Anolis sagrei: one gene and its partners. Each later gene encodes a partner of the first gene's protein in a complex. Links are inferred from orthologs where the notes say so. Each region holds a gene or a part of one and is shown on either strand. Other genes may lie near its edges. The genes, in order: EIF4A3, CASC3, ALYREF and UPF3B.

The links.
Region 2: the proteins of EIF4A3 (region 1) and CASC3 are in contact, whole or in part, in a crystal structure (PDB 2J0U), measured with the Homo sapiens proteins. The link is inferred for Anolis sagrei from reciprocal best matches to the Homo sapiens genes EIF4A3 and CASC3. Residues at the interface, in NP_055555.1 of Homo sapiens: Thr178, Arg179, Lys198, Ile201, Tyr202, Tyr205, Arg206, Tyr207, Leu208, Pro209, Pro210, Thr212, Lys231, Phe232; in NP_031385.2 of Homo sapiens: Arg217, Trp218, Glu219, His220, Asp221, Lys222, Phe223, Glu225.
Region 3: EIF4A3 (region 1) and ALYREF share a complex: the UniProt entries of both Homo sapiens proteins name them as parts of the ALYREF/THOC4-EJC-RNA complex. The link is inferred for Anolis sagrei from reciprocal best matches to the Homo sapiens genes EIF4A3 and ALYREF.
Region 4: EIF4A3 (region 1) and UPF3B share a complex: the UniProt entries of both Homo sapiens proteins name them as parts of the mRNA splicing-dependent exon junction complex. The link is inferred for Anolis sagrei from reciprocal best matches to the Homo sapiens genes EIF4A3 and UPF3B.

What each region holds. Positions count from the first base shown.
Region 1 is NC_090021.1:21,907,406-21,915,016, reverse strand, and holds the start of EIF4A3 (eukaryotic initiation factor 4A-III), read right to left. Parts: upstream 3,014-7,611; 5' UTR 2,818-3,013; coding exon 2,652-2,817; intron 2,408-2,651; coding exon 2,335-2,407; intron 1-2,334. UniProt on the Homo sapiens protein: ATP-dependent RNA helicase. Involved in pre-mRNA splicing as component of the spliceosome. Core component of the splicing-dependent multiprotein exon junction complex (EJC) deposited at splice junctions on mRNAs.
Region 2 is NC_090026.1:40,429,088-40,436,196, forward strand, and holds the start of CASC3 (protein CASC3), read right to left. Parts: upstream 3,019-7,109; 5' UTR 2,907-3,018; coding exon 2,640-2,906; intron 1-2,639. UniProt on the Homo sapiens protein: Required for pre-mRNA splicing as component of the spliceosome. Core component of the splicing-dependent multiprotein exon junction complex (EJC) deposited at splice junctions on mRNAs.
Region 3 is NC_090022.1:113,659,379-113,667,138, forward strand, and holds the start of ALYREF (THO complex subunit 4), read right to left. Parts: upstream 3,014-7,760; 5' UTR 3,004-3,013; coding exon 2,758-3,003; intron 2,264-2,757; coding exon 2,132-2,263; intron 603-2,131; coding exon 455-602; intron 131-454; coding exon 67-130; intron 1-66. Other genes in the region: ANAPC11 (anaphase-promoting complex subunit 11), read left to right, coding at 6,973-7,081, 7,176-7,321. UniProt on the Homo sapiens protein: Functions as an mRNA export adapter; component of the transcription/export (TREX) complex which is thought to couple mRNA transcription, processing and nuclear export, and specifically associates with spliced mRNA and not with unspliced pre-mRNA.
Region 4 is NC_090030.1:3,214,478-3,221,914, forward strand, and holds the start of UPF3B (regulator of nonsense transcripts 3B), read right to left. Parts: upstream 3,012-7,437; 5' UTR 2,997-3,011; coding exon 2,721-2,996; intron 743-2,720; coding exon 636-742; intron 483-635; coding exon 376-482; intron 1-375. Other genes in the region: NDUFA1 (NADH dehydrogenase [ubiquinone] 1 alpha subcomplex subunit 1), read left to right, coding at 3,920-4,021, 6,240-6,329. UniProt on the Homo sapiens protein: Involved in nonsense-mediated decay (NMD) of mRNAs containing premature stop codons by associating with the nuclear exon junction complex (EJC) and serving as link between the EJC core and NMD machinery.

The DNA of each region.
Region 1 (7,611 bases):
TTATGTAAAGTATATTGGTAGCTCATTATTCTGCATTAAAGATGGGGGACTAAGAGTATTTTCGTTCTAATTAATTCATGGCTAAAAATAACATTTTAACAGTGAACTTGGGGGGTTAATTTAGGCTTTTATAGTACAGTATTTATACGTCTTTTCAGAAGCAGCTCCCACTGAGCTCAATGAGATATATTCCTTTGTCATTATATTTATTTATTTACTGTATTTGTATACCACCCTTCTCAGCCCTCAGGCAACTCATATATATAGGATTACTTCCACAATCATGACATTGAAATAGTTCTCGAAACTGAAACTTCTACAAATAAAACCTATGTTTAACAATCAAATTTAAGTTATGGTCTACTTTGGAGAGTATAATAAAACTGTACAAGTTAATAATATACAAACACGTGGTATCATCCGCTGTGTCTCAAGCATCTGCAGTTGTACAATGTAGAATTAAAAGGTCTATGATTTTCCTCTGAACTCTTCGCAAACTAAGATACTGATGTCTAGCCTTCAAATACTTTCTAAAAAGAGACAGTACAGGTATAAATTAAGACACATCCTAACAACTGGCTGTTAGGAATTGCGGGAGTTGAAGTAAATCCAAAAAGAGACCCTGTACCTCTAAATCCCAGCAAATGTGGTCAACTGACTGCACAGAAATAATACAATTGTAATAATACAAAAAATAAACAGCAACCCAGGTAGGTCAAGGTGGTTATTTAAAATCTAAATAGCAAAAAGGCAGATAAGGTTTTAGAGTGGAATGGATCTACACTGTGGAATGAATGCAGTTTGATACCACTTTAACCCTCATAGTTCAAAGCTGATATTTGATTTGATCCCTCTGATTTTTAGTTCACGAAAAAGGCAGCTTTGTTGATATTGATTTAAATATTTACATTTAGCTTTGTTATTTGAACTAATTATGCCAATTACAAAAAAATCAACTAGAAATTCAAAAATCACAAGAAAAAAAATCTTGTCCTGCAGGTGAGGAGAAAAGGCTTAAGTTTTCGGTTCTTGTGTGAAAAGCAAGGGCATTCCTGCTGTGGAAAGAATATGCATTCTCATCAAGGATTATCAGTCTATACAAAGTGCTGACTTACTTGATTACCCATGGCTTTAATGGGGATACTGTAGCTGGAAATAGAACTATATTTCTTCATTTCTAAGACCTGCTTCTCCTCTTGTATAAACATCTCTAAAACTGTGGTGTTTCTTACAATGGTTGGGATTATATATTATATATATATATATATATATATATATATATAGTTGGGTGAAAATGGTGGTACTGAAATTAGTGTGCATCTTAGACTCAATGGTGTCATAGAATAAAAGGAATATTGCAAGTTAATTTAGATCTGTGGCTAAATGTGACTGTGATTTCATGTCATATAATAAAAGATTCAACATAAACAGATACAATGGTTGACAAGAAGATACATTCACTGTCACATTTTACACTAAACAAGGACCACTGAACTGAGGTGGATTTAATCTGACAAATTTGCTGTAGTCATTGGCATCAAAGGTGTAAAACACAACATCAAGAATCGTTTACTTTCTTATAGTCAATATGGCAATATTCCAAAGTGACCTCATTTTACTTCCATATACATTACTTGTCCATGGTGGTTCACATTCTCATTACATCCAAGATAGACTACTGCAACGCGCTCTACATGGGGTTGCCTTTGAACGCGATTCGGAAGCTTCAAACAGTCCAATGAGAGGCAGCCAGGTTAATAACTGGGGTGGCATACAGGGAGCACACAACTCCCATGTTACATCAGCTCCACTGGCTGCCCGTTTGCTACTGGGACAATTCAAAGTGCTGGCTTTAGCCTATAAAGCCCTAAATGGCCCTGGCCCAGTTTACCTGTCTGAACAGATCTCCCTTTATGAACCACTGCAGAAACTAAGATCTTCTGGGGAGGCCCTGCTCTTGGTCCCGCCACCACCAAAGGCATGTTTGGTAGGGACAAGAGTCAGGGCCTTCTCAGTGATTGCCCCCCAGTTATGGAACTCCCTTCCTGGCAATATTAGATCAGCCCCCTCCCTCCTGTCCTTTAGAAGGATTGTGAAGACTTGGCTGTGGGACCAAGCCTTTGGGGCAGTGAAATGAGGCAAAATGGTGTCCTGAGATGGTTTTTAAGCAACTTTTAATCTGAATATAAGTGACTTTAATGTTTGTATATATTTATGGTTTTATATCCCAGCATTGAATATTTGCCGTATATATGTTGTGCTCTGCTCTGAGTCCCCTGCGACGTGAGAAGGGCGGAATATAAATGTTTAAATAATTAAATAATCTGTACTTACTGTGCAATTACGTCTCTTCCTTTAATGATCTGTTTGATTGCTCTCTGCTGGATAGCTGAAGGTTTCTCAAAGCCTAGAAAAGCCATTTAAAATTCATTTAGCATCCCTTTCCACTTACAGATCAAACCCCAAAACATGAACATTTATGACATTTATATGCCGCCCTACTGTAATATAGCAATACTAATATATTAAATATAATAGTTACTACTGATAATATATAATAATATATAACGGTAGACTGTGTTATTGTTGTTATGTTTGTATAGATGGTTATAATGCGAGACAGAATGAGAATCTTGTCCCTCCCGGCTCACCGTAGGCGTAGATGCCTCGGAGGAGGTCCTCGCGCAGGCCCATGGTGTCGAAGGTGGGGGTGACGTCCACCTCTTCGCTGGTCTCGAACTCCACCTTCGTCATGTCTTCCTCCTTCAGCAGCCGCTTCCGAGCAGAGCCCGCCGTACCTCCCGTCGTCCCCGACATCCTTCCCGGCCGAGTCGTGCCTCCCGCCGCTTCCCTGCACGCGTTTCTCCCTCAGAGGCTCCGAAGGCCGCGCGTGAGAACGTGAGGAGATCCGCAACACCGCCGGCTAGGCCGCAACTGAACCGCGCATGCGCCCTCAGCTCTACTCCATGACGTAGATGGTGACGCACGACGTAAAACATACGTCCACCCAATGTTCGCTCCTTTCCAGAGAGTCCCAACAGACGCTAAAGAGACGAGAAGTTTACGCATGCGCTCCAACGCTCAGCCTCAAACAATCACTTACGCATGCGCTCTAACCCTTCCTCACCCTGTCTCAATGACGTCAGCAAACGTTCACTCCTCCCAATAGAGTCAGTAACGGGACTAGGCTTCACGCATGCGCGTTAATGCTTCTATCTGATTTAGCAACGCTCGCGCTTTGTAAAAAATAAAAGAGACACTTGCGCATGCGCATTAACGCTTTCTCAGTGACGCTCGCCCTAAAAGACGCTTAGCGACGTTCGCTTCCGCCCATAGAGATATAACTTATAGAGTCACAACAAGGAGGGATTCTTTTGTCTGGGACTTCATCTCCCAGAATTCCTGAGTGTTGGCCACGATGTGGGAGACTTCTGGGAGTTGAAGTCCGAAGTTTGCCCTTCCTCACCCTGTCTCCATGACGTCAGCAAACGTTCACTCCTCCCAATAGAGTCAGTAACGGGACTAGACTTCACGCATGCGCGTTAATGCTTCCATCTCTGATTTTGCAACGTTCGCGCTTTGTAAAGGTTATAGATACAGGAGACAGTTGCGCGTGCGCAGTAAAGCTTTCTCAGTGACTCTCGCCCTAAACATACGCTTACCGACGTTCGCTTCTGCCCATAGAGATATGTTTTTGATAAGAGTCACAACAAGCAGGGATTCTTTTGTCTGAGACTTCATCTCCCAGAATTCCTGGGTGTTGGCCACGATGTGAGAGCCTTCTGGGAGTTGAAGTCCGAAGTTTGCCTTTGCCTATCTCTGGGGCTGAGAGAGTGTGACTTGGATTTCTGTGGCTAAGCTAGGATTCGAACTCACATCTCCAGAGTCAGGGTGAGAACAAGCCCTATGAGGAGCGGCTTAAGGAGCTGGGCATGTTTAGCCTGAAGAAGAGAAGGCTGAGAGGAGATATGATAGCCATGTATAAATATGTGAGAGGAAGCCACAGGGAGGAGGGAACAAGCTTGTTTTCTGCTTCCTTGGAGAATAGGACGCGGAACAATGGCTTCAAACTACAAGAGAGGAGATTCCATCTGAACACGAGGAAGAATTTCCTGACTGTGAGAGCCGTTCAGCAGTGGAACTCTCTGCCCCAGAGTGTGGTGGAGGCTCCTTCTTTGGAAGCTTTTAAACAGAGGATGGATGGCCATCTGTCAGGGGTGATTTGAATGCAACATTCCTGCTTCTTGGCAGGGGGTTGGACTGGATGGCCCATGAGGTCTCTTCCAACTCTTGATTCTATGATTCTAGGGTCGAATCCTCAGATTATGAGAGCATGATCAGTGCTGTCCATCTACAACAGGCATGGGAGTTGTTTTGAACTTCAACTCCCACAGTTCCTAACAACCTCAGGCCCTTTCCTTTCCTTATGCCCAGTGTGGAACACATCCCATCACGTTAAAACAGTGGATGTGGCTCTTAAGGACACATGCCGCATTATCACAGGATGTCTACGCCCTACACCACTGGAGAAATTATACTGTTTAGAAGGGACAGAGAGTTTCATCTATGCTGACGATCATGCCATCACCACCCAAGCAGGGAGCTGTGAAATCGTTGAACAGAAGCTCTCCAAAGCTTTAGGTGGCCTTACTACCTATTACAGGGAAAACCAGCTGATTCCTAATCCATCTAAAATGCAGACATGTGCTTTTCACCTTAAGAACAGACAAGCATTTCGAGCTCTGAGGATTACCAGGGAAGGAATCCCACTGGAGCACTGCAGCACACCCAAATACCGGGATTGTGGCGCAGCTGGCTGAGTGTCAGCTGCATTAAAGATCACTCTGACCAAAAGGTCATGAGTTCGAAGCTAGCCCAGGTTGGAGTGGGTTTTCCAACCAATTGTGTGTAGCCTGTTGTCGACCTTTGCAACCCGAAAGACAGTTGTATCTGTCAAGTGGGAAAATTAGGTACCACATTAAAGTGTGGGGAGGCTAAATTAACTAATTTATGAGGCCATAAAGAAGACTCCAGCAAAGCATTCCAGCGGGGAAGCATGCGAGGAATGCGGAAGTACTTCATCAGTGTCGCAGATGGACAATGAAAGCGACAGCTCCCCTGGTGGCCAGAAAAAGTTAAATAGCCTCTGTGTATGTCTGTATATGTTTGTATGTCAAAAATTGGCAATGAATGTTTGCCATGTATGTGTACACTGTAATTCGCCCTGAGTCCCCTGCGGGGTGAGAAGGGCGGAATATAAAAGCTGTAAATAAATAAATAAATAATACCTGGGAGTCACTCTGGACCATTCTCTGACCTACAAGAAGCACTGCCTAGTTCCTGCTCATTCTATTGGTTCCCTTCTCTGCAATTGGTTATCTTACATGACATGGTCAGTGCAGTCAGGGAGGAGGGAGCAAGCTTGTTTTCTGCTTCCTTGGAGACTAGGACGCAGAACAATGGCTTCAAACTACAAGAAAGGAGATTCCATCTGAACATGAGGAAGAACTTCCTGACTGTGAGAGCCGTTCAGCAGTGGAACTCTCTGCCCCAGAGTGTGGTGGAGGCTCCTCCTTTGGAAGCTTTTAAACAGAGGCTGGATGGCCATCTGTCAGGGGTGCTTTGAATGCAGTATTCCTGCTTCTTGGCAGGGGGTTGGACTGGATGGCCCATGAGGTCTCTTCCAACTCTAGGATTCTATGATTCTATTTCTGAGCCTTTGTTGTTGTTGTTGTTGTTGTGGTTGTTGCTTTCCCCCTATTTTCCCAGCCTTGAAGTAAGATGCAAAGCACCTGATGGTGGGTATATTTACACTATAGAAAGAATACAGTTTGATACCATTTCAACTGCCCTGGCTCAATGCTATGGGATTGTGGGAATTGTAGTTTCACAAGGTCTCCAGCCTCCTCTGGCCAAGAGTGCTGGTGCCTTGCCAAACTACAGCTCCCATGATCCCATAGCCTTGAGCCAATGCAGGTCAAGAGGTGCCAAGCTGCATGCATTAATCCCACAGTGCAGCTGCAGCCAGGGACTCAAGAGGAAGAAGCAACAGCAGCCAATGCCAGGAGGAGGAGGAGGAAGGGAGGCAGGCAGGAGGAGGAGGGTGGTCTGAGGACGGGGGGCGGCCTGCTTAGCCCGGTCCAGCCCCGGGGAGGGGCCTCCACCCCTGGAGGGAGAAGCCCCGGCAAAGCACGCCGCTTTGGGCTTCGGAGGGACACAAAGGAGGCGGAGGAGAGCCTCTGGAGCAAGGCTTGGCTTCCCTTTCCCTGGAGATGCTGCTCCTGCTGCTGCAGTTTCTGCTCTGAGAGTCAAAGCAACAAGTGGGAGGAGGGCAGAGGTGAGTGCTGTGCTGGCTTTTGGGGTTCAGGGTTGCTCCTATGCAGGATATCTTGAAGATATCTCACTTCCACCTTGAGTATTGCGCTTGCTTTAGGGGTTCAGGGTTGCTCCTATTCAGGTAACCTATAGGACAGCCCACCTATAGGATATAATATAGAATGTCCCATTTTTACAAGAATATTGTGCTTGCTTTAGGGGTTCAGGGTTACTCCTATGCAGAATATCTTGAAGGTATCTCACTTCCACCTTGAGTATTGTACTTGCTTTGGGGGTTCAGGGTTGCTCCCATCCAGGTACCCTATAGGACAGCCCACCTATAGGATATAATATAGAATGTCCCATTTTTACAAGAATATTGTGCTTGCTTTAGGGGTTCAAGGTTACTCCTATGCAGGATATCTTGAAGATATCTCACTTTTATGTTGAGTATTGTATTGCTTTAGGGGTTCAGGGTTGCTCCTATTCAGGGGCCCTATAGGACACCTACCTATAGGATTTAGTATATAATATCCACCTTTAAAGGAATACTGTTCTTGTTTTAGGGGTCCAGGGTTACTCCTATGCAGGTGCCCTAAAGGACAGCCCACCTATATGATATAATATAGAATATCCTACTTTTACAAGAATACTGTGCTTGCTTTAGGGGTTCAGGCTTGCATCTATGCAGGGTCCTATAGGACAAACCACCTATAGGATATAGTATAAAATATCCCACCTTTACAAGAGTACTGTACTTGCTTTAGGAGTTCAGGTTGCTCCTATGCAGGATATTTTTAAGATGTCTCACTTCCACATTGAGTATTGTACTTACTTTAGGGGTTCAGGGTTGCTCCTATGCAGGGACTCTATAGGGCAGACCACCTATAGTATAGAATATCCCACCTTTACAAGAACATTGTGCTTGCTTTAGGGGTTCAGGGTTGCTCCTATGTAGGGGACCCTATAGGACAGACCACCTATAGTATAGAATATCCCACCTTTACAATAATACTGTGCTTACTTTAGGGGTCCAGGGTTGCTCCTATGCAGGGACCCTATAGAACGGCCCACATATAGGCTATTTTATAGAATATCCCACCATTACATAGGCTATTTTATAGAATATCCCACCATTACAAGAATACTGTGTTTGCTTTGGGGGTTCAGGGTTGCCCCACTGCAGAGACCTTATAGGACAGGCCACCTATAGGATATTTTATAGAATATCCCATCTTTACAAGAATACAGTGCTTGTTTTAGGGATCCAGAGTTGCTCCTATCCAGGGGCCCTAT
Region 2 (7,109 bases), on another chromosome or scaffold:
GAGAACCACTCCCATGCTACAGCAGCTCCACTGGCTGCAGGTCTGATTCCTGGCGAAATATAAAGGGCTGGTTATCACCTATAAAGCCCTAAATGGTTCGGGCCCAGATGATTTGAAAAACTGCATCTCCATATACAAACCACCACAAGCATTGCGGTCCATGGAGGAGGCCTGCTCTTGGTCCTACCCCCGTCTCAAGTATGGTTGGTCAGGTCAAGAAACAAGGCCTTCTCCTTGATCGCCCCCCACCACTGGAAATCCCTCCCCAAAGAAGTAGAAATTCTCTCTTTTACAAAGCTTCTTCTTTTCTTTTTATGTCAGGAGCAACTTGAGAAAGTGCAAGTCACTTCTGGTGTGAGAGAATTGGCCGCCTGCAAGGACGTTGCCCAGGGGACGCCAGGATGTTTTACCATACTGTGGGAGGCTTCTCTCATGTCCCCATCTGAGAAGCTGTAGCTGATGGAAGCTCACTCAGCTCCCCGGATTCGAACCGCTGACCTTTTGGTCAGCAGTCCTACTGATACACGGGTTTAACCCACTGCGCCACTGGGGGCTCCTTAAAAACCTATTTATGCACTTTAGCGTATGGAAAGGATCAGTAATACATTTTAGTTATGTACTCTCGTTTAGCTACTGGAAAGCTACCTCAGCCCTGTTGGTTGCAGTAAACCACCCAATATTTTAATGCCTTTTAGCTGCTGGTAAATGTGTGAAATGTGATGTATTACATTTATTTAAGTTCTTACTTTTTGGTTATTATTGGTTAGCCATAAGTTTTATTTATTATGTTGATTGATTTGTTGTTTTGTTTTATTATGGCACTGAATGTTTGCCACTTTTGATGGAAACTAACCTGAGGCCCCTCGAGGGGCTGGGGCAGGTTATAAATAAAACTTTATTATTATTATTATTATTATTATTATTATTATTACTATTATTACTACTACTAACTAGTCTTTAAACATAAACCTGAATTTTAATGCATGCCCTTTAATTTGTTGTCTGTTTTCATATATATTTCATTTGTTGTTTGTTTTATTGTGGCATTGAATATTTGCCACTTTTGATGGAAACCTCCCTGAGTCCCCTCAGGGAGCCAGGGCAGGTGACCGCATTTCTGTGTATAAACCCACACGATCTCTTCGTTCATCTGGGGAGACCCTGCTCTCGCTCCCAACTCCCTCGCAGGCGCGATTGTTGGGGATGAGGGATAGGGTCTTCTCCATGGTTTCCCCCCCCCCCCCACTCTAGAACTCACTCCCCAAGAATATCAGACAAGCCCTCACATTGGCAGTCTTTAGGAGGAGCCTGAAAACGTGGCTGTTCCAGTGTGCCTTCTCTGAATAAAGGAAACAATCCCCTGCAAAGTACCCTGAGAAGCACTTTAATTACCCATTGGGTTGTTCTCTACTTTTCGTTTAAAACTCCCCTACTAGTTACATCCTCTGTTCATGTCCAGCATTTATTTTTAAAGTTTTAACTATTACATCTGGCCCTGCCATAGATTTTTAAATTCTTATGTGTTATTGTCTACCTGTGAGTTATATTAACTGTATTGTTTTTTTGTTTATTGCTTGTTGTTTTTATTATTGCTTGTTGTTTTTGATGTGTTGTTAGGCTTCGCCTCATGTAAGCTGCTCCGAGTCCCTTGGGGAGATGGTGACGGGGTATAAAGTTTTATTATTACTACTATTATAAATAAAACCTTATTATTATTATTACCTAGTCTTTAAACATAAACCTGAATTTTAATGCATGCCATTTGTTTAATTTGCTTTGTCTGTTTTCATATATATTTCATTTGTTGTTTGTTTTATTATGGCATCAAATGTTTGCCACTTTTGATGAACACTGCCCTGAGTCCCTTCGGACAGCTAGGGTGGGTATAAATAAAACCTTATTACTATTACCTAGTCTTTAAACATAAACCTGAATTTTAAAGCATGCTCTTTGTTTAATTTGTTCTGTCTGTTTTCATATATATTTCATTTATTGTTTGTTTTATTATGGCATCAAATGTTTGCCACTTTTGATGGGAGTCCTCTCGGGGAGCTAGAGCAGATTATTACATTATTATTACTAAAACATTATTATTACCTAGTCTTTAAACCTAAACCTGAATTTTAATGCATGACCTTTGTTTAATTTCCTTTGTCTGTTTTCATATATATTTCATTTGTTTGTTTTATTATGGCATCAAATGTTTGCCACTTTTGATGAAAACTGCCCTGAATCCCTTCGGACAGTTAGGGTGGGTATAAATAAAAACCTTATTATTATTATCTAGTCTTTAAACATAAACCTGAATTTTAATGCATGCCCTTTGTTTAATTTGTTTTGTCTGTTTCCATATATATTTCACAGCGATATGTTTTGGTATGTAACTTTTATGGTGGTATGTGTATTTGTAGTGTTTTGCTGTGCTTATATGTTTTAATTGTTTTGCAACCCGCCTTGAGCCATGAGGAGAGTGGGTAAGAAGCAAAATTATTATGATTATAATTATTCTGGGTTATCTGGCTGTGTGGAAGAGCCCCAAGGCCTGAGGAGGCTTGAAACCTCAGAGCGCTTCAAACTGCGGCCTAGTGCAAGGCCCAGTCCCTCACGGAGCCTTCCCTCTCCTCCGCCCAGGTACTCACACACTCCGAGTCGGCCGGGCTTCCTCCCGCCGTCAGAGCCGCCTCCACGTTTTCAGGACCGGCGGAGGTAGGAACAGCAGTGGCGGCGACGGCAGTAACAACAACCGCGGTGCCTCCACCGCCTGCATTGCTAGCGTTGGCCGCGGAGCCGGCGAGTCCGAGGCGGAGGGCGCCCCTCGGCGAAGGGGCCGCGCTCCCAGGCGGCGAGTCCGACTCGTCCTCCTCACTGCTGTCCTGGGAAGCGCGCTGCCTCCTCCGGTCCGCCATCTTGACGAGAAGAAACAAGAAGCGAAACGGTTAGGGAAGAGGAAGAGGAGGGGGCGGAGCCCAAAGGGATGACGGGTAACGAGCAAGGCGCGCGCCCACCAGCTCCCAACTTCCGACACGCAGCGCGCGCGCGCGAGACACGTTTCGATGCCTCCCCTTCCCCCCAGAATTCTTTGCGAAGAACAAAAAATAGGATTAAAGACAAAAGGGGAGGAAAGGAAGACAGCGGCCAATGGAGGCGCTGTGGAGCAATGACGTCACGGCAAACTGCTCTTCAGTGGGCGGGCCGAAGGACGCCTCGGCAACAGGGTCACGTGCTTCTCGAAGATTGACACCTCCCCCTCTTCCCCCCCCTACTGCCTCGACGCTTTCCCACTGCGACGGTGATGTCATTGTTGTTTATCCTGCAGGACTGAAAGCGTAGAGGCAGGGCGTTGCACAGGCTTCGGAGGGAATGAAAAGGGTAAACCGGCCGCATGGAGAAAAACAGGTTGGACACAGCCCTTAGCCAGAATTCCGAAAGCCAAAATAATTCAAGCAAGGCTGCATGGACACTGTAGAATCAATGCAGACCCATACCGCTTTAATTCCCAGGGCTCAGTGCTGTGGAATTGTGGGATTTGTAGTTTGATGAGGTTGGCAGAGCTCTTTGACACTGAGCCATAGTCATTAATGGGTGTCAAACTGCATTGATCTCACAGTGTAGATCAGGCTTGGGCAAACTTCGGCCCTCCAAGTGTTTTGGACTTCAGCTCCCACAGTTCCTAACAGCTGGCCAAAGTTTGCCCATGCCTGGTGTAGATGCACTCACTGACACCTTTGCTTTCTGGTGGCAAAATGTACACAAACTTTGTTTCATGCACAATTGAATACATTAACCTTCAAGCTATGCATGTAAGGCAGGCATAGGCTAACTTCGGCCCTCCATGTGTTTTGGACTTCAACTCCCACAATTCCTAACAGCCGGCCAAAGTTTGCCCATGCCTGGTGTAGATGCACCCACTGACACCTTTGCTTTCTGGTGGCAAAATGTACCCACACTTTGTTTCATGCACAATTGAATACATTAACCTTCAAGCTATGCATTTAAGGCAGGCATGGGCCAACTTCGGCCCTCTAGGTGCTTTGGACTTCAACTCCCACAATTCCTAACAGCCGGCCAAAATTTGCCCATGCCTGGTGTAGATGCACCCACGGACACCTTTGCTTTCTGGTGGCAAAATGTACCCAAACTTTGTTTCATGCACAATTGAATACATTAATCTTCAAGATATGCATTTAAGGCAGGCATGGGCCAACCTCGGCCCTCCAGGTGTTTTGGACTTCAACTCCCACAATTCCTAACATCCAAAGTTTGCCCATGCCTGGGGTAGATGCACCCACTGACACCTTTGCTTTCTGGTGGCAAAAGGTACCCAAGCTTTGTTTCATGCACAATATTATTAAAAATATTGGATAAATGTACCTTCAAGCTATGCATATTAAGGCAGGCTATGGGGCAACTTCGGCCCTCTGGGTGTTTTGGACTTCAACTCCCACAATTCCTGTGGGAGTTGAAGTCCAAAACACCCGGAGGGCCGAAGTTGCCCCATGGCCTGCCATAGCACACATAAATTTTGCGGCCCATCTCCAAGATATCTCATTATGCAAGTAATGGTGTTCCAAAACCCAAAACACTTTTCCCAAGAATTTCAGATAAGGGATGGCCAACCTGTAATGCAAAAGCGGGTGAGCCTGCAGTGGCATGCTAGGTCCAGGAAGCTGGTGGAAAATACAAACCCAGTTATACTGCATGCTGGAACAATATTTTTGTTTATTTAAAGTGACTTAGGTTATAAGGCTCAACTAACATTAACCATAACAACCATTCGCCTTCCTATTATCTACCCAATCTCATTACCTAGGAAAAACCGGTTGCCACTTGTAGAAAAGAAAAAAAATGAAGAGAAACCTGGCACTGAAAATGATATGCAAAAACAGTATAATTTTGAAATAGTCTATCAACTGGGTTAACATGAACCAAGTCTAATCATAAAAGTTAGAACATAAAAAGGAGCTTGGCTGGATCACATCAAAGACTAGCCCAGTCCAGTATCATGTTTACCCACTATCTAAACAGATGCTAATAAAAAGTCCAGAGTCAGGACACAAGGACAGTGTTTCTTTTCCCAGCAAATGCATGCTACCAAAGGACATGGGAGGCCCATCAACAGGTGCATCTACACTGCAGAATTAATATAGTTTGCTACAGAATCCTGGGAGCTGTAGATTGGAAAATCAGCAGCACTATTGGGCAGAGAAGGCTTAAGTCCTTGCATAGTTACATCTCCAATGATTCCATAGCATTGAGCATGGCAGTCAAAGTGGTGTCAAACTGCAATAATACTAGAGTGCAGATCAGGGGTCCTCACACTTTTTAAACAGGGCCAGGTCACAGTCTCTCAAACTGCTTGAGGGCCAGATTATAATTTGAAAAAAACATGAATGAATTCCTATGCACACTGCACATATCTTATTTGTAGTGCAAAAAACACTTAAAAACAATACAATAATTAAAATTAAGAACAATTTTAACAAATATAAACTTATTAGTATTTCAATGGGAAGTATGGGCCTGCTTTTGGTTGATGGGATGGGATGGGATTGTAGTTGTTGTTGTTGTGTGCTTTCAAGTCGTTCCAGACTTAGGTTGACCCTGAGCGAGGGCTGGGTAAATGACCTTGGAGGGCCGTATCCGCCCCCCCCCCCCCCCCGGGGCCTTAGTTTGAGGACCCCTGGTGTAGATACACCCAACATCTTTAGGTACTATTCATAAACCCCTGTAGAATAAGGGCAGTGCTTTTAACGCCATAGTTGTAGGAATCGGGTACCTTTGTCTGTTTTGAATCAATACAGCTTCACTTTTTTTTTTTTTTGGTCGTGTCAGGAGCGACCACTCCTGTAGTGAGAGAACTGGCCGTCTGCAAGGACGTTACCCAGGTGACGCCCAGATGATTTGATGTTTTATCATCCTTGTGGAAGGCTTCTCTCATGTCCCTGCATGAGGAGCTGGAGCTGATAGAGGGAGCTCATCCGCCTCTCCCCGGATTCGAACCTGCGACCTGTTGGTCTTCAGTCCTGTTGGCACAGGGCTTTAACCCACTGCGCCACCGGGCAGCTTCACTGAAGAGCTGCATATCTAACATCGTTATTCCTGTCCACTTTTTTCACAACATGCATCATTTTATGGTGTCTGTCATGCCCCTTTCTTTTCTATGCTGAAAACCCCCATAGACTTTCTCTAAGATCAACACATTCAGCTACCACATTTTGCCTTTTACTGCTCTAGATGTGTTGTGGGTTTAAGATGAAACAAGCAGAATTTATTCTATATTCTATATGATGTTACACTATAGATGTTTATGACAAGGTTCAGCACTATTTTTTTCTAAACATCTGCAACATGGAATTTGTCCTTGCCACATGCAGTCTCGCAATTTTAGAATACTCTTTAAAAAGTATGCCTAAAACCAATTCATGCACTTTCGCTTTTTTGTTTTTCCAGTCTTGTAATTTTCCTTTTATTGTTTTGCTTTTGATAATATCAGTATGTATGCTTTGTTAAACCAACTTAGCTATAATAATGTTGAAAGGGAGGACAGATACTGCTTCCTGCCCCCCCCCCCAAAAAAAACCCCACAAATTTAAATGGTCCTGGCTGCCTTTTCTAGACTCAAAAACCACCATGTCTCAAAGACACAGGGCCCTTGTGCAAAACCGCAATGATGGCATTCTCATTTGCAAGTTCAACCTGTTCCATTTAAATGTTCCTATGATTGGCTGTATCGTTTCTACTGCAGAAAGTAAATTTTCCTTTTTTAGGCAAAGCATGACATACAATACTATTTCCAGAGCTGCTGCTGGGAATGAGTCACTCTATTGTATATATTTTGATACTACATTTAAAAAAATACAGGTCTACTGTTACTTTCTACCTTTCAAGGACTTCTGATCCAACTATTCAGACTCCTCTTGATTTATACATTTAACTAAGTTTAAAGCCACTACAGTAACCTTTTCTGTCCAATAGCAGAAGTAGATTCTGCTGGTCAAAATTGTACCATCTGTCAAACGAGGCACAACACATAAGAAAAACATTAATATTCTTTTTTATTGTAAAAAAAATTGATTTGTTTCAATTTTGTTTAAACATACAAGCAGAAC
Region 3 (7,760 bases), on another chromosome or scaffold:
GTGGCGGTATAAAAGAACAAACTTATTATTATTATCATCATCATCAATAAAGATTAAATCTCCTACCTCTGTATTGGTCTCCTCTGTGTATCTATTTGTGATGTAACCAGTTGGATATTCATGGGACGTCCTAAAAATAAAAAGGATATGCATCACAAGGGTTATTAGTCCAAAAACCTTACTAGTCTGTAAAATAATGCTAAAATACTTCTTTCAAGAACCAAGGGTTGGAAGCTTCTCAGGACCATACCATTTTAAACTGTCTTCTTGGTTTCTATGCCAAAAAAAACAGATTCTCCATTCTTCCTTTGCCACCCTCTTACATAGAATAATACATACACACTCCAAACACATTTCCTTGTTATTTGTAGCTACCAGAGAAATACTTAAATTCAAGGCTAGCTTATCTCTTATTCCACTGTGTAAATATCAAGATAGACAGTTAAGCACGTACCATCCAGGGGAACTCCATTGTACTGTTTCATAGCCTTCAGAGCATCTGCCTTCCTCTCAAAATGAACATCTGCAGTACCTAGACTACGCCCAGATCGGTCATAGTGTACTGCTGCCTTCTTCAATGTACCAAATTCTGCAAAAAGTTCCTGAAAATGATATGGTAAAAGTAGGAAGTTATCTCAACCAGGAGGATTTGGCAAAGTATTCAGGTCTTTCTAAAAAGATTACCCATTAAAGCAGTAAACTCTTTCACTCTCACATTTGCCATTTTACTACAACTACAAATCAGATCTTGCATTAACTTTGCCTCATTTTCTACTTAAATTAACCCCAGAACTCAAGGAAAAATGCAAGAAATGTAGGGCAGAAGATCTCCTGAGGAGGCAATGTTGATGAGACCTCCACCAAGGTGCCTCAGCCACAAAATAAAGTGGAGTGGTTGCATTCCTCATAGCCCCACTACAAATAAAATCAGAAGAATAATTATGGAAAACAAGTTCCCTGCTGTACTTTCTGTAGTGGAGCCCACTGTGGTGGAGAACTGCTTCTTGGGCATTTGAAGCGGCTTACCCTGCTTAAGCTACATACTCCTAAACAAGTTAAGTGATCTTGCATAACACTATATAAACCATTGCCATGTTTGAATCTCAAATCATGCAAGTGTCTTTTGCCTTATGCTGTTTTAAGAGCAGATTGGCAAAAAGTCTGGCCTTCATGAATCCAGTGTGTGAGCATATGTTCATCTGAAGTCATAAAAGCCATTGTACCCTACAACCAAACCACAATATATTCTTGTTTGCCTATTGTCTGATACAACATTGGCTTTATTTCAAAGGATAAACAGTACTGGGAAATGTGGTTCAACAGGATAAAATTTTCTCCCTGCAAAAAAGCCTGATTGTTTACCCTCCTCATAGAGTTTATTTTATGCATGCATTTTAGCCATGTTTCATTGTTATTTTATGGTGCTGTGTTTTTATGGTTGCATATGGCATTGAATATTTGCTTTTGTATTAGAAATCGCCCTGAGTCCTTTCAGGGAGATAGGACAGACTAGAAATAAAATTTTAATGATTTTTTAATTAATAATTTTCTGTCTTTGTATAGGTTAGCCTTAGGTTCAGACTTCCCTGCACAGAAAAAAATAATCCAATAGAGATCCACATATCCCAAGGATTACAAAAAGAAGTGTGTAGAACAGATATATCTACTATAGTACTAAGCTTATGAAATTGTTTAGAAAATGTTCATATATGTACTCTACACAAAACAAGACAGCCTATGAATATCAATGTGTTTGCTAACAATCCCAAACTATCAAAGGAAATAAATATTAATGCTGATAATTTCACAGAGAGACATTTCTGCTTCTCTCCAAACATTAAGACATTTGTCACAATCATAAAAAAACACCCATGTCCACACAGATGAAATTTGCAATAAGATGCCCAAAATAAAGGCGGTCTCCATTACACAACCTTATCAGCTAGCTCAGGCATGAGCAAACTTCGGCCCTCCGGGTGTTTTGGACTCCAACTCCCACAATTCCTAACAGCCTACCAGCTGTTAGGAATTGGAGTCCAAAACACCTGGAGGGATGAAGTTTGCTCATGCCTGAGTTAGAACAAATTCCAACACTGGGCCACCTATTATTAGAGATGAAGGGAAAACCTACCTGTATGTCCGCATCTGACACGCCAAAATCTAGATTAGAGACCAGAAGTTTTCCACCTGTCTCCACACCAGCGCCAGGACCAAAGCCACTTTCGAAGAGATCATGTTGCCACTTTTCTGGAAGTTGTTTGGGCTGGAAAGAAAGGGCACCCCAAGTCAGTAACTGATCAGCATATCTTAAGGCATTGGTTCTCAACCTGTGGCTTCCCAGATGTTTTGGCCTTCAACTCCCAGAAATCCTAACAGCTGGTAAACTTTCTGGGACTTGTAGGCCAAAATACTGGGGACCGACAAGTGGCAAACCACTTGTCTTAAGGTCTCATGTCCCCTTATTTTCAGACTACAGCCCCTAGAGCAGTGGTTCTCAACCTGTGGGTCCCCGGGTGTTTTGGCCTACAACTCCCAGAAATCCAAGCCAGTTTACCAGCTGTTAGGATTTCTGGGAATTGAAGGCCAAAACATCTGGGGACCCACAGGTTGAGAACCACTGCCGTATAGTATAAGCCTAGGCTTCCCTGCGTTTTCTCCCCCAGGTGCAGGCCCAAGTGCTATCACGAGTTGCGAATGCAGTGAGAGTCCAGATGAGCCCGAAGGCAGACCCCCAGGAGACGCCTGGCGGAAACGTACCCGGCTGTAGGGCGCCGGCCTGTTCCTGCCGCCTCCCCGGGACAAGGCGGCTCTGTTCCGGATGGGGCCTCCGCCTCCTGCCCGCCCCGCGCCTCCGCCTCCTCGCCCCGCGCCGCCGCCGCCTCCTCCGCCGCCTCGCCCCGCGGCCCCTCGCCCCCGGCCTCGCCCGGCGCGCCCGCCTCCGCCTCGCTGGCTCCGGTTGAGCTTGATAATATCGTCCAGAGACATGTCCATTTTGTCGCCCATGATGGCGGCTCCCTCCGGCTCCTGGGGCCTACGCTTCCGGCCGCGCTGCGCGAGGGGACCGGAAACGGATGAGGCGGGGATACAGAGGGAAGGGCGGCGAAGGAGAAAAAGAAGGAGCCTGGCTGAGGAGGAAGAAGAAGGAGAAGGAGGCGGGAAAGAAAGGAAGGGAAGAGCGCGGTGGGTGGGCGCGCTTGCGCTCGTGCCGGGCTCCTCCGCTGAAAGAAGTGCGCCAAGGGGCCTCTCGCGCTCGGTTTTAAGGGCTTGGGTGCGCGAGGAACTATGGGAGAGCCCTTGGGGGCGGGACTTCCGGTAAGGGGAAGGGAGGCGGGAAGGTTGGAGGAGGAGGAGGATGCTGCCTCGGGGCAGGGGAGGGGGCTGTTCCCCCCAAAGCCCCGTCTGCACTAAACATTTCATACAGTTCGGCAACCAGGCGACAAACTCCCTTGAATGCAAAGCCCTTAATGTGCCTCAGGGCTTTCAGCACTTTCTGGGCCTCAAACTGGCTCCAGGATTTCTCATGTAGCCATCTGACTGCACAGCAAAATCGCTTTGGAACTGCAATAAATGGCCAGTGTAGACGGAGACCTCAGACTACAGTCTTGTGGCTGCTGCTGTTGTTTGGCGGCTGCTCTTTGGTAAAGAGATCCGCACGTAATAATAGCCCAACGCTGAAGCATTGCCCAGGCCAAGCTGCTAGTTCCAACGAGAGCAGAGCCATTACATTGGTGCCAGGGCCCCTGGTGGTGCAGCCGGTTAAACCGCTGAGCTGCTGAACTTGCTAACCTAAATATTGGCTGTTCGAATCTGGGGAGCAGGGTGAGCTCCCGCTGTAAGTCCAGCTCCTGCCAACCTAGCAGTTTGAAAACATGCAAATGTGGGTAGATCAATAGGTACAGCTCCGGCAGGAAGGTAACAGCACTCCATGGAGTCATGCTGGCCACATGACCTTGGAGGTATCTATGGACAACACTGGCTCTTCAACTTAGAAATGGAGATGAGCACCAACCCCCAGAGTCGGACACAACTAGGCTTAATGTCAAGGGAAACCTTTACTTTTATAGATTCATGCCAATTGACTACGCAGCAGTCAGTGTGCGCCTAACAGTTGTAAAGGTGCCAAGGTCTGCCTGATCTTGAAAACTGCATAGCTCCTAGATGGGAGACAGCCACCAAATATCAGATGCTTTAGGCTAGGGGTCCTCAAACTTTTTAAAAAGAGGGCCAGGTCACAGTCCGTCAAACTGTTGGAGGGCCCGATTATAATTTGAAAAAAATATATGAATGAATTCCTATGCACACTGCACATATCTTATTTGTAGTGCAAAAACCACTTTAAAACAATACAATAATTAAAACAAAAACCAATTTTAACAAATATAAACTTAATAGTATTCCAATGGGAAGTGTGGGCCTCCTTTTGGGTGATGACATAGGATTGTTGTTGTGTGCTTTCAAGTCATTTCAGACTTAGGTTGACCCTGAGCGAGGGCCGGGTAAATGACCTTGGAGGGCCGCATCCGGCCCTCGGGCCTTAGTTTGAGGACCCTTGCTTTAGGCTATAACAACAGCAATCCTATCTCAGCCAAAAGCAGGCCCACACTTCCCATTGAAATACTAATAAGTTTACATTTGTTAAAATTGTTCTTCATTTTAAATATTGTATTGCTTTAAAGTGTTTTTTGCACTACAAATAAGATATGTGCAGCATGCATAGGAATTCATGTTATTTTCAAATTATAATCCAGCCCTCCAACAGTTTTAGGGACTGTGACCTGGCCCTCTGTTTAAAAAGTTTGAGGATCCCTGTTCTAGAGGCATCTTTCCTGATGTTTCGCCTATGGCAAGCATCCTCAGAGGTTGTGAGGACCTCACAAGGATGCTTGCCATAGATGCAGGCGAAATGTCAGGAGAGAATGCCTCTAGAACATGGCCATATAGCCCAAAAAACCTACAATAACGCAATCAGTCAATGATCAGCTTGAAGTGTTGTGTGTATACAGACACACAGATAGTGCAAAGAGCCTGCTATAGTTTGAGCCAACCATTAATTTTAGGTCACTGTTACAAAAGCAGCTACTTCATCACAATAGAGCAAACATGGGCAAACTTGGGTGCTCCAGGTGTTTTGGACTCTAACTCCCACAAGTCCGAACAGCTAGTAAGCTGTTAGGAATTGTGGGAGTTGGAGTCCAGAACACCTGGAGGGCTGAAGTTTGCCCAAGCGTACACTAGAGCATCTATCCACTTTAAATCCAGTTGTTCCCTCCTGCAAAATTCTGGGGTTTGTAGTTTAGTGAGTTCCAAGACCTCTCTGGATGAGCTTTTTAAAGGCCACTCTCTAAACTACAAACCCAGAATTCTGCAGGAGGCAGAAACTGGATTTAAGGTTGATAGATGCTCTAGTGTGCTGAAGTCCCTAGTTCTTCAGCTACCTAGGGTTTACTTCTTACAAGCTGTTTAAAAGAAGATGGCAAGATACGGGGAGCTGGTAACTGAAAATACAGTGTTTAAAATATTAATCTGATAATATGTAATTGCCCACGGGGAAGAATGCTTTATTTTTGATATGTGCTTTCAATAATTATGTACTGCTTTAACATGATAGTTTAAATTGTTTTAATGTTTTATTATTGGTTTATTTATTTATTTATTTATAAGAAAGGCAACATATAAATTAAATAAGACTCAGTTGAGAATATCCTGCAAAATATGGATATCTTTTGCTTTTCTTCCTTTCAAGGGCTGCGATAGGAACTATTGCAGTCTTAACAGTATGCAAAGGGGTCTTGTGGCACTTAGAGACTGAAAGAATGACGCTAGTAGCTTAAACTTTCATAATTCGTCCGATTTCTCAGATGCATGGACTGAAGTGCTTGGGAAAAATTCATAAAATCTATGTGATAAAAGTTTATGGTCCTAGAAGTTCTGTGTCAGTTTATTTATATTGTAAACAGCAATATCAAATAGTTAATTATAGTATAAAAAAAATGATTGTGTTTCAGTACATACATGTTTATCAGGTGGGTTAGCACCAGACATTCCTATTTATCCCTAGGGTAAAGAGATCTTTATACACAGAATGTGTGAATAGCCATAGAAATGCAAAACAGGTACAGGACAGTCCAAGAACTCCCTCCACCATTCATATGCTTATCTACTTATCTTGCCTTTAGGCAACATCTTCTCGACTCCCTTTGTTCCTCAGTGACATCATTAACACTGAACTGGTCATTTTAGCACCATGCCCACAAACTCTGTGGCGAGCTACTGACAAAATAGACTTGATCTTGGAAAGGTTATGTTATCAGTTTTGTTGTCTCATTTTGCCTCTAAGGTACTGCAAGATCCCTTTGCATACTGGTATTCTAGACTAATGCAGTCATGCCTTTGAATTCTACCCACATGGGATATGATTCCTACCCAACTACTTCAAATTTTGTTGAGTTCAATATTAATAATGTACCCAGCTTTGCAATGTCTTAATGCTGCTGTTCTTCTGCAATGCTTTTGTATAGTTATGCTGGGCATTAGGACCTTGGTATTCATCTGCTGTAATGGTTATACTATAAAAACAATGTAATCATAGGTAAGAATTAATATATATTACTTTGCTTTAATGTCTCAAAAATCTCTGCTTCCATCCTGTCCTAATCTGGAATTTGGTTGTAGTCTGTCCTGCATCATCCCTAAAGAAGGCACAAGCTTAACATACCTCCTGGACTGCATATACATTGTAAGACGAATATTAATATAATTTATAATGCCATCTATTGCTACCCTGGTGGAAAGGTTAAATAGGTTAAATAGTTTTTAAATTGCATTCCAGCTCCAATCTTGCTAGGAAACAGAGACTTTGATTTCTAGAAACTCTGATTCCCATTTTAGAAACAGTGATTTCCATTGGTTTTTTCTCTCCTCCCTTCAGGTGCTAAACTAGGTTGATCTAAGTGTGGTATTTAGTTGAACACAATGAAAGTGAAAATCAAGAGCTGGCATGGAGTTGCCTCTTGGCTCTGGGTTGCCAATGATGAGAATTGTGGCATTTGCCGGATGGCCTTCAATGGCTGCTGCCCAGATTGTGAGTATTGGGACTATCTGCCCACTGACATTTTTCTTGATCGATATACACTGTCTTTTCCCAGCTTTGCCCTAGTAACTCTTGTGTTTTGCAGGTAAGGTGCCTGGAGATGACTGCCCGCTGGTGTGGGGTCAGTGTTCCCACTGCTTCCACATGCACTGCATTCTCAAGTGGCTTAACTCCCAGCAAGTCCAGCAGCACTGTCCAATGTGCCGACAGGAGTGGAAGTTCAAAGAATAACCAGGTCAAGATTTCTCCCTCCTTACGGATTTCACATCCTCTTCTTATAGCTTCATGGAGATTCATCCTTCCTAGCTCTTCCTCAAGCCTGGAGACTTTACTTGCTCGTATTGTATTGTATTGTATTGTATTGTATTGTATATCCTAAGCCTTCCCACAGACTGAATCAAAAGAAGTGCAGGAACTGGATGCTCTCTTTCTAGTTACATTTTCTTAACATTATTATCCTGTCTACCATTCAGGTTTTTCTGTCTTTATTCTGTCCAGGATTGTGGTTTTAAATGGTCATGAACTGTGTCTATATCGTGTAGGAAATATATATTTGTGAGAAGGTCAGCATATTGAACAAGAACATATCATGATGTTATTTTCATGTATGCTAGATATTACCTGGGCCCCTTTTGTAAGCTTGTGTCTTGGTGGATTGTCTGAAACGCTA
Region 4 (7,437 bases), on another chromosome or scaffold:
GCAGCCATATCAAGCAAGTCTTGGTGTCCATTGTATGGGGCAGAAGTCATCCCCACTCTTCCTTATTTATTACATTTCCTAAAATCAGATGTTGCTACACCACACAATGGACCACACATTAATATGGATCCTTTGCTGTGAAGCTGGCTACATTTCCTCCCCACCCAAAGCCCTTTGCATGCGATCTCAGATGAGCAATGATCGGATTTTTCAAATTAAATTCTGGATGACACTGGCTCGGCACAGACCATGCAGGCAATTCTACCCCGTTTCTGGGCCTCTGGATTGACTGAATTATTTTCACCAATTTATGCCAATATATATTTGGACAAAACAGAGATATGATATACATAGCCAAGTTTCAGGCATACTTGCCTTTGTGATCAACAAAAACATAACCATCAAAGCGATCCCTGAACAGAACTATGTCTTCTTGGTTTTTAAAGTTGATGTATGCTCTGGAAAACATGTGAGGGTACAAACTGCAGAAGGACAGAAAATGGCAATGTATAAGGAAACGTCGCTGAGTGATGACTGTAAATATACCAAAACACAAGACGGGTGTAAAACTGAAAGACATAAATGACATGCCACCGTTACATGCAACACGGGCAGAGTTTGAAAGGCCCTCTCACCTGGTGTCATTAGCAAAGAACTCAAAGTAGTCGTGTTCCGGCAAAGGCTGGAGATGTTCTTCAAGCTGCTCCTTGGTTAGGCTGGGAGGGAGGCGGCGAATCACCACCTGCAAGAGGAAGTGTCGGTTTTTACAAACACCTTAATTTGTCAAATAAATTGTTCCAAACAACACTATGTAACACAATTGTCGTTCCTGGGTTGGGGCATTTCCTAACTGGTTCTCCCATAAAAACTGTTGGAATGTAAGCCCGAATTGAAAATCCATCTCTTCCGGTAGAAGGCCGACCCAGCCAACTTTCTATCATGAGGTTTGACTGACATTCCCTTGCTGCTTTATGTTGATTTTGAACCCTGTGTGCGGTGTACATTTTCATAATTATGTCTTTTTTCTCTTTATATTTTATTATATAAAAGTTATGTTCATAGGTTATTGACTTTGCTATACTCTGGGTAACAAAATATGTATTCTTATATTTATATTTTTATTATCATATTCTTAATATTATATTTCTAGTCTTATTATATTTTTGATTATAATGTTCTTACTATATTTTTATTCTTATTTTTTACTATATATCTATGGTTATTATATATTGACTGTATTCTTATATTTCTCTTATTACAGTATACATAAAACAAATTTATTATATTGAGTATGTTGAGTATGTTCTTATTCAATTTCTATTATTATTATAGTTTATTATTTATTAATTTACAACATTTATGTCACTCTTCTCACCTGAAGGGGACTCATTATAGATAAATCACATTTATTATAGGTTGATTATGATATATTCTTATATTTCTTTTCTTATTATAGTCTATATAAAACACATTATTATAGAATATTCTTATTCTATTTTACTCCTTACCATTCTTACTATAATTTTATTCTTATTATATTCTATATAAAACACATTTGTTATAGGTTAACTATATTCTTATTCTATTTCTCTTATGTTCTTATTCTATTATTACATATCTATTCTTACTATATTTCTGTTTTTATTGTATTCTGTATAAAACACAGTTATTATAGATTACCTACATTCCCATTCTATTTCTCTTCTTATCATTCTTATTCTATTATTATATTTCTGTTCTTATTATATTCTATATAAAATACATTTATTACAGATGAACTATATTCTTATTCTATTTCTCCTCTTTTCATTCTTATTCCATTACTACATATCTAGTCTTATCATATTTCTTTTCTTATTATATTCTATATAAAACACATTTGTTATAGGTTGACAATATTCTTATTTTATTTCTCTTCTTATTCTTATTCTATTTTTACATATCTATTATTATATTTCTATTCTTCTCATATTCTATATAAAACACATTCATGATAGCTTGAACATATTCTTATTCTATTTATCTTATCATTCTTATTCTATTACTACTTATCTGTTCTTATTATATTTCTGTTCCTATTACATTCTATATATACACATTTATTATAGCTTGAATATATTCTTATTCTATTTATCTTCTTATCATTCCTATTCTATTATTACATATCTATTCTTATTATAATATATATAAAACACATTTATTATAGCTTGAGCATATTCTTATTCTCTTATCATTCTTATTCTACTACTACTTATCTATTCTTATTATATTTCTATTCCTATTGTATTCTATATAAACACATTTATTATAGCTTGAGTATATTCTTATTCTATATCTCTTCTTATTCTATTATTATATTTCCATTCCTATTATATTCTACATAAATACATTTATAATAGCTTGAGTATATTCTTATTCTACATCTCTTCTTATCATTCTTATTCTATTATTATATTTCTATTCCTATTATATTCTACATAAATACATTTATTATAGGTTGAGGCAATTCTTAGTCTATTTCTTGTATCATTCCTATTCTGTTATTACATATCTATTCTTCTTATAATCTATAGAAAACACATTTGTTATAGGTTAATTCTATTTCTCTTCTTATCATTCTCATTCTATTACTGCATATCTATTCTTATTATATTTATATTCCTCTTACATCCTATATAAGACACATTTGTTATAGAATGACTATATTCTCCTCCCTTCACCTTGCTGAGGAGCTCCTTCTTGTCCCGGGGCCTGCTGTCGGGCTCCCCTCCGGCCTTGGCGTCCGCGCCCCCGCCCACCGCCAGGGCTCCCGCTCCGGAGGAGGAGGCGGCGCCGCCCCGCTTCTCTTTGGGCCTGGCGTTCTCCTTGCCTTCCTTCATCCTCAACGCCGCGCCAGCCAGAGCCAACAACAAGGCCCCGCTCGCCCGTCTTCCGCTCCGTCCCGCTCGCCCATTGGCCGCCGCTCCTCTCGCGAGAGCCTCTTCCCTCATCCCCATGGCAACAGAGCTGAGGAAGTGACGTCGCCGCGGAAGGCCGCAACGGTTTTTCCATCTCCATAGCAACAGCAGCGGCGGGGGAGGGGGAAGGGAGGGAGGAAAGCCTGCGCCTGCGCAGTTCCGCCCTGCCTTTTGGTAAGTCACAAAACCCTCCTCCCTCCGTCACAAGGAGGTGGAGAGAAAGTGGCGCCTGCGCAGTGCCGCACTCCCTCAGCCCCGCCTCCCTCTCACTCCCATTGGCCGCGAGAAATGTCTCTCTCCTCTATCCCCAGAGTGACAGCAGAGGAGGGAGGAAAGTTTGCGCTTGCGCAGTGCAGCCCTACCTCAGCTCCGCCTCCCGGTCACTCCCATTGGCCGCGAGAGATGTCTCTCTCTTCTATCCCCATACCGACAGTAGCAGAGCGAGGAAAGTTTGCGCCTGCGCAGTGCCGCTCTCCCTCAGCCCCGCCTCCCGCTCACTCCCATTGGCCGCGAAGGATGTCTATCTCCTCTATCCCCATAGCGACAGCAGAGGAGGGAGGAAAGTTTGCGCCTGCGTAGTGCCGCCCTCCCTCAGCTCCGCCTCCCGCTCACTCTCATTGGCCGCGAGAGATGTCTCTCTCTTCTATCCCCATACCCTCAGTAGCAGAGGGAGGAAAGTTTGCGCCTGCGCAATGCCACCCTCTCTCAGTCCCGCCTCCCGCTCCCTCCCATTGGCCGCGAGAGATGTCTCTCTCCTGTATCCCCATACCCACAGTAGCGGAGGGAGGAAAGTTTGCGCCTGAGCAGTGCCGCTCTCCCTCGGCCCCGCCTCCCGCTCACTCCCATTGGCCGCGAGAGACGTTTCTCTCCTGTATCCCCATAGCGACACCAGCGGAAGTGACGCCAGGACGGAAGAGAGGGAGAGAAGCTTTTTCTGCCCTTGCATTCCTGAGGAGAAGACGATGTGGTACGAGATCCTTCCCAGCCTGACGGTGATGTACGTCTGCCTGACCATCCCGGGCTTCTCCACCACCTTCATCCACAAGTACACCAACGGGGGCAAGGTCAGCCACACCGCCACGCTATCGCGCGTCTGTCCCGCTTGGGCCGCCCTGGAAACCTCCCGGGGAATTCTGGGACAGAATGGAGGGGAGGGAGGCAGGCAGGGAGGAGTCAGAGTAATAGAGAAATACATAATAATGAGGGATGTGAGTAAATACAGGATGGAGAATAGATATATGGAATAGGCATAAATACAAAATAATAATCATAATGCAGGATATGCATAAATACATCATAATGTAATTGTGGGGTATAAAGAAATACATAATAATAATATACATGCAATGTATTAGTACATAATATTATAATAATAATATATTAATATGTGATATTATATTAATATATAATAATATATTATAATAATAATATATTAGTACATAATGATTTAACGGTCATTTAAAAGTCCCTTGGCCACTGTACACGTACAGCTGTACCAGTTTCCTTTGCACTGAATGTTTGTTATAGTCATAAGTTTCAGGGACTCTGCAGATAGGTGGCTTCTTTTGGCTGCAATCATAGGGCAAGCCACCTGTCAATTATAGTTCGGTTCCCTGGTCGCGCCCCTTTTTGAGTTTTGGAGGGAATAGGAGCCTTTTTGGGTCAGTCCACACAGAGAAGCTTCCATGCAGGACATAATATCAAGAGCTCCTGTAGAAAGCTTCGTCTTCTACAGCTTGGCCGGGGAGATATACAGCCTACAGCTTGGCCGGGGAGAAAAGGCCCACAGCTTGGCTGAGGATTTTGCAAAGTTACAGCTCCTTTGCGGAGGGATTTCAGCCAGCCAACACAGCAACCTGAACTCCTTCTTTTCCCCTGGAAGTCTACAAAGCTCTGCTTGGTAAGGGTCGCTCGTGGAAGCCAGACGCAGTTGGTACCGGGTGCAGGGGCTCCACGCCAACAGAGGCAAAGACAGACTGCCCAGATTAGAAGTTAAGGATTTCCCCATTAGTTAGTATACAGTTATGAAGATAGTGCCTGTTCCCTATGGACAAGATTGAAAGAGCCTATAGACCGTTAAAAAAAGCTTTAAAGTACCTGTTTGTTTTAATCAATAAAGAACTTTGTTGGACTTACTTTAAGTCTCTACAGAACTTTGTTTTAAGGAAATCCAAGGGCCTTTAATCTGAGGCAGCCCCGGCATCCCGTTGGGCACTCAGAATTTATGTCCTGTCTACAGCCTTATGCACAGGCCCAGCGTGCGACAGCACAACCACATCATGAGAAGAAAGGAAAGCTTAGAGAAGATAATGATGCTGGGGGAAATGGAAGAAAAAAGGAAGAGGGGCCAACCAAGGGCAAGGCGGGTGGATGGTATCCTTGAATTCACGGGCTTAACTTTGAAGGAGCTGGGGGTGGTGACGGCCGACAGGGTGCTCTGGCATGGGATGGTCCATGAGGTCACAAAGAGTCTGAAGCAACTGAACAAATGAACAACAACAAAATTGTTGTGGGATATACATAAATACATCATAATTATAATGTAAATGTTAGATATAAATAAATACACAATATTCAGCCTTCAACCATAAATCTGTATAAATAAATATGTAATGTTCATTTGTGGGATTAATATATTTCAAGAACCACAGAAGGAATTGAGACCAAATTTGGACGCAAAACACCTATCAGGCCAACGTGACCATCACTCATAAAAACACTGGAAAACACAGCGGAAGGGACATAAAAGGCTCAAAAACAAAAAATACATTACAAGGCATGTGCAAAACCACATATATATAGGCAAGCACACATATACACAAATATATACACAGATATATACACACACAAAACACAGACTGAGCCACAGCAATGCATGGCTGGGGACAGCTAGTGCATAATAATGATAAATACGGGATATAAATAAATATAAATAAATACATAATAATTATCCTAATGTAAATGTTGGATATAAATAAATACACAATATTCAGGCTTCAACCATAAATACACAATAATTATAATATGGTGGATCTAAACTGTAGAATGAATACAAGTTTGATACCCTGTCTTGATATGATTCGAATTGTGGGGGTTGTCATTTTGCAAGGTCTTTAGCCTTCTCTCGTGCTTCTAACCCAAAGAAAAGGGCTGCATCTACCATCCTCTATTCCAGTTGTCTGGGGTTTTTTCCCCTTTTTATGTTGGATTATACGCTTATACATTTTATCCCTTTTCTCCTTGATTTTGACTTGTTTTTCCCAACCCTTTTGTGTGTCCCAGGAGAAGCGCATTGCCCGGAACACCTACCAATGGCACTTGATGGAAAGAGACAGGAGGGTTTCTGGAACCGACCGTTACTTCGAGTCCAAGGTAGATAATGAAAAGAAACATTAAAACGCCACATGTTTGCCTTGGTTGCAGAGAGGAGTTCTGTCTAAACTTCATAGTCTTCGTATTTAGTGACAGAGGGTTTTTAGCCTCTGTTTTTGAAAAAGAATGAATGCAATAAACAATACCTAGAGGAGCATTGAATAGTACAAAACAATCTAAAAACCTCTCTCTTCTAGCCAGTTTTAAGCATGAATTTGAAACTCTTGTCTCTGTTTTGTGTATTTTATAGAAATATATATTTATATATTTTATATAACTTGATTTTAATATGTGCGTTTAAAGAATGTTCGCAATGTTTGTGTGTTTTGACTGTGCTGTGACCCGCCTTGAGCCACTAGCCACAATAACAGTAATTATGATTATGAAATGTTATCAGATAAAATTCTCAGAACCTGATATTATTTCTAAGATAAAATTGTTGTTGTTGTTACTATTTATTTATTGTTTTAGAAATGAGCTGAGGGTACTCAACTCGTATTTAAAAACACAAAGTTTGCAACACTTGGCATTATGCTAAATGTCCTTTGACCAGTAGCTGACCACTTGGAATGCCTCTGGTGTTGCTATAAGAAGGTCCTCCATTGTGTATGTGGCAGGGCTCAAGCTGGATTGTAATAGGTGGTCAGTGGTTTGCTCTCCTCCACACTCGCATGTCGTGGACTTTGTGGCCCCATTTCTGAAGACTGGCTTTGTACCTCATTACTATTATATGTCATCAGATAATATTCTCAAATCCTGAGATTATTACTAAGATAAAATGATGGTGATGATTAAATGTTATTAGATAAAATTCTCATAGTCTGAGATTATTATTAAAATATTATTATTATTATTAAATGTCATCAGATGAAATTATCAGAGCCTGAGATTATTATTAAGATTATTGTTGTTGCTATTATGAAATGTTATCAGATAAAATTCTCAGAACCCTTTTTTTGTAAAACATTATTCTTAAGAGATTACCATTTTTACACTTTTCCATTTTGCTTTCCGTTCCGTTTCAATGATGGTTTTCCTCTTTTCGGAGCAGTCTGTCTGAAGGAGTAGCCTGATCAGATGAATGGGAAGCAGATAAAATCCTCTTATT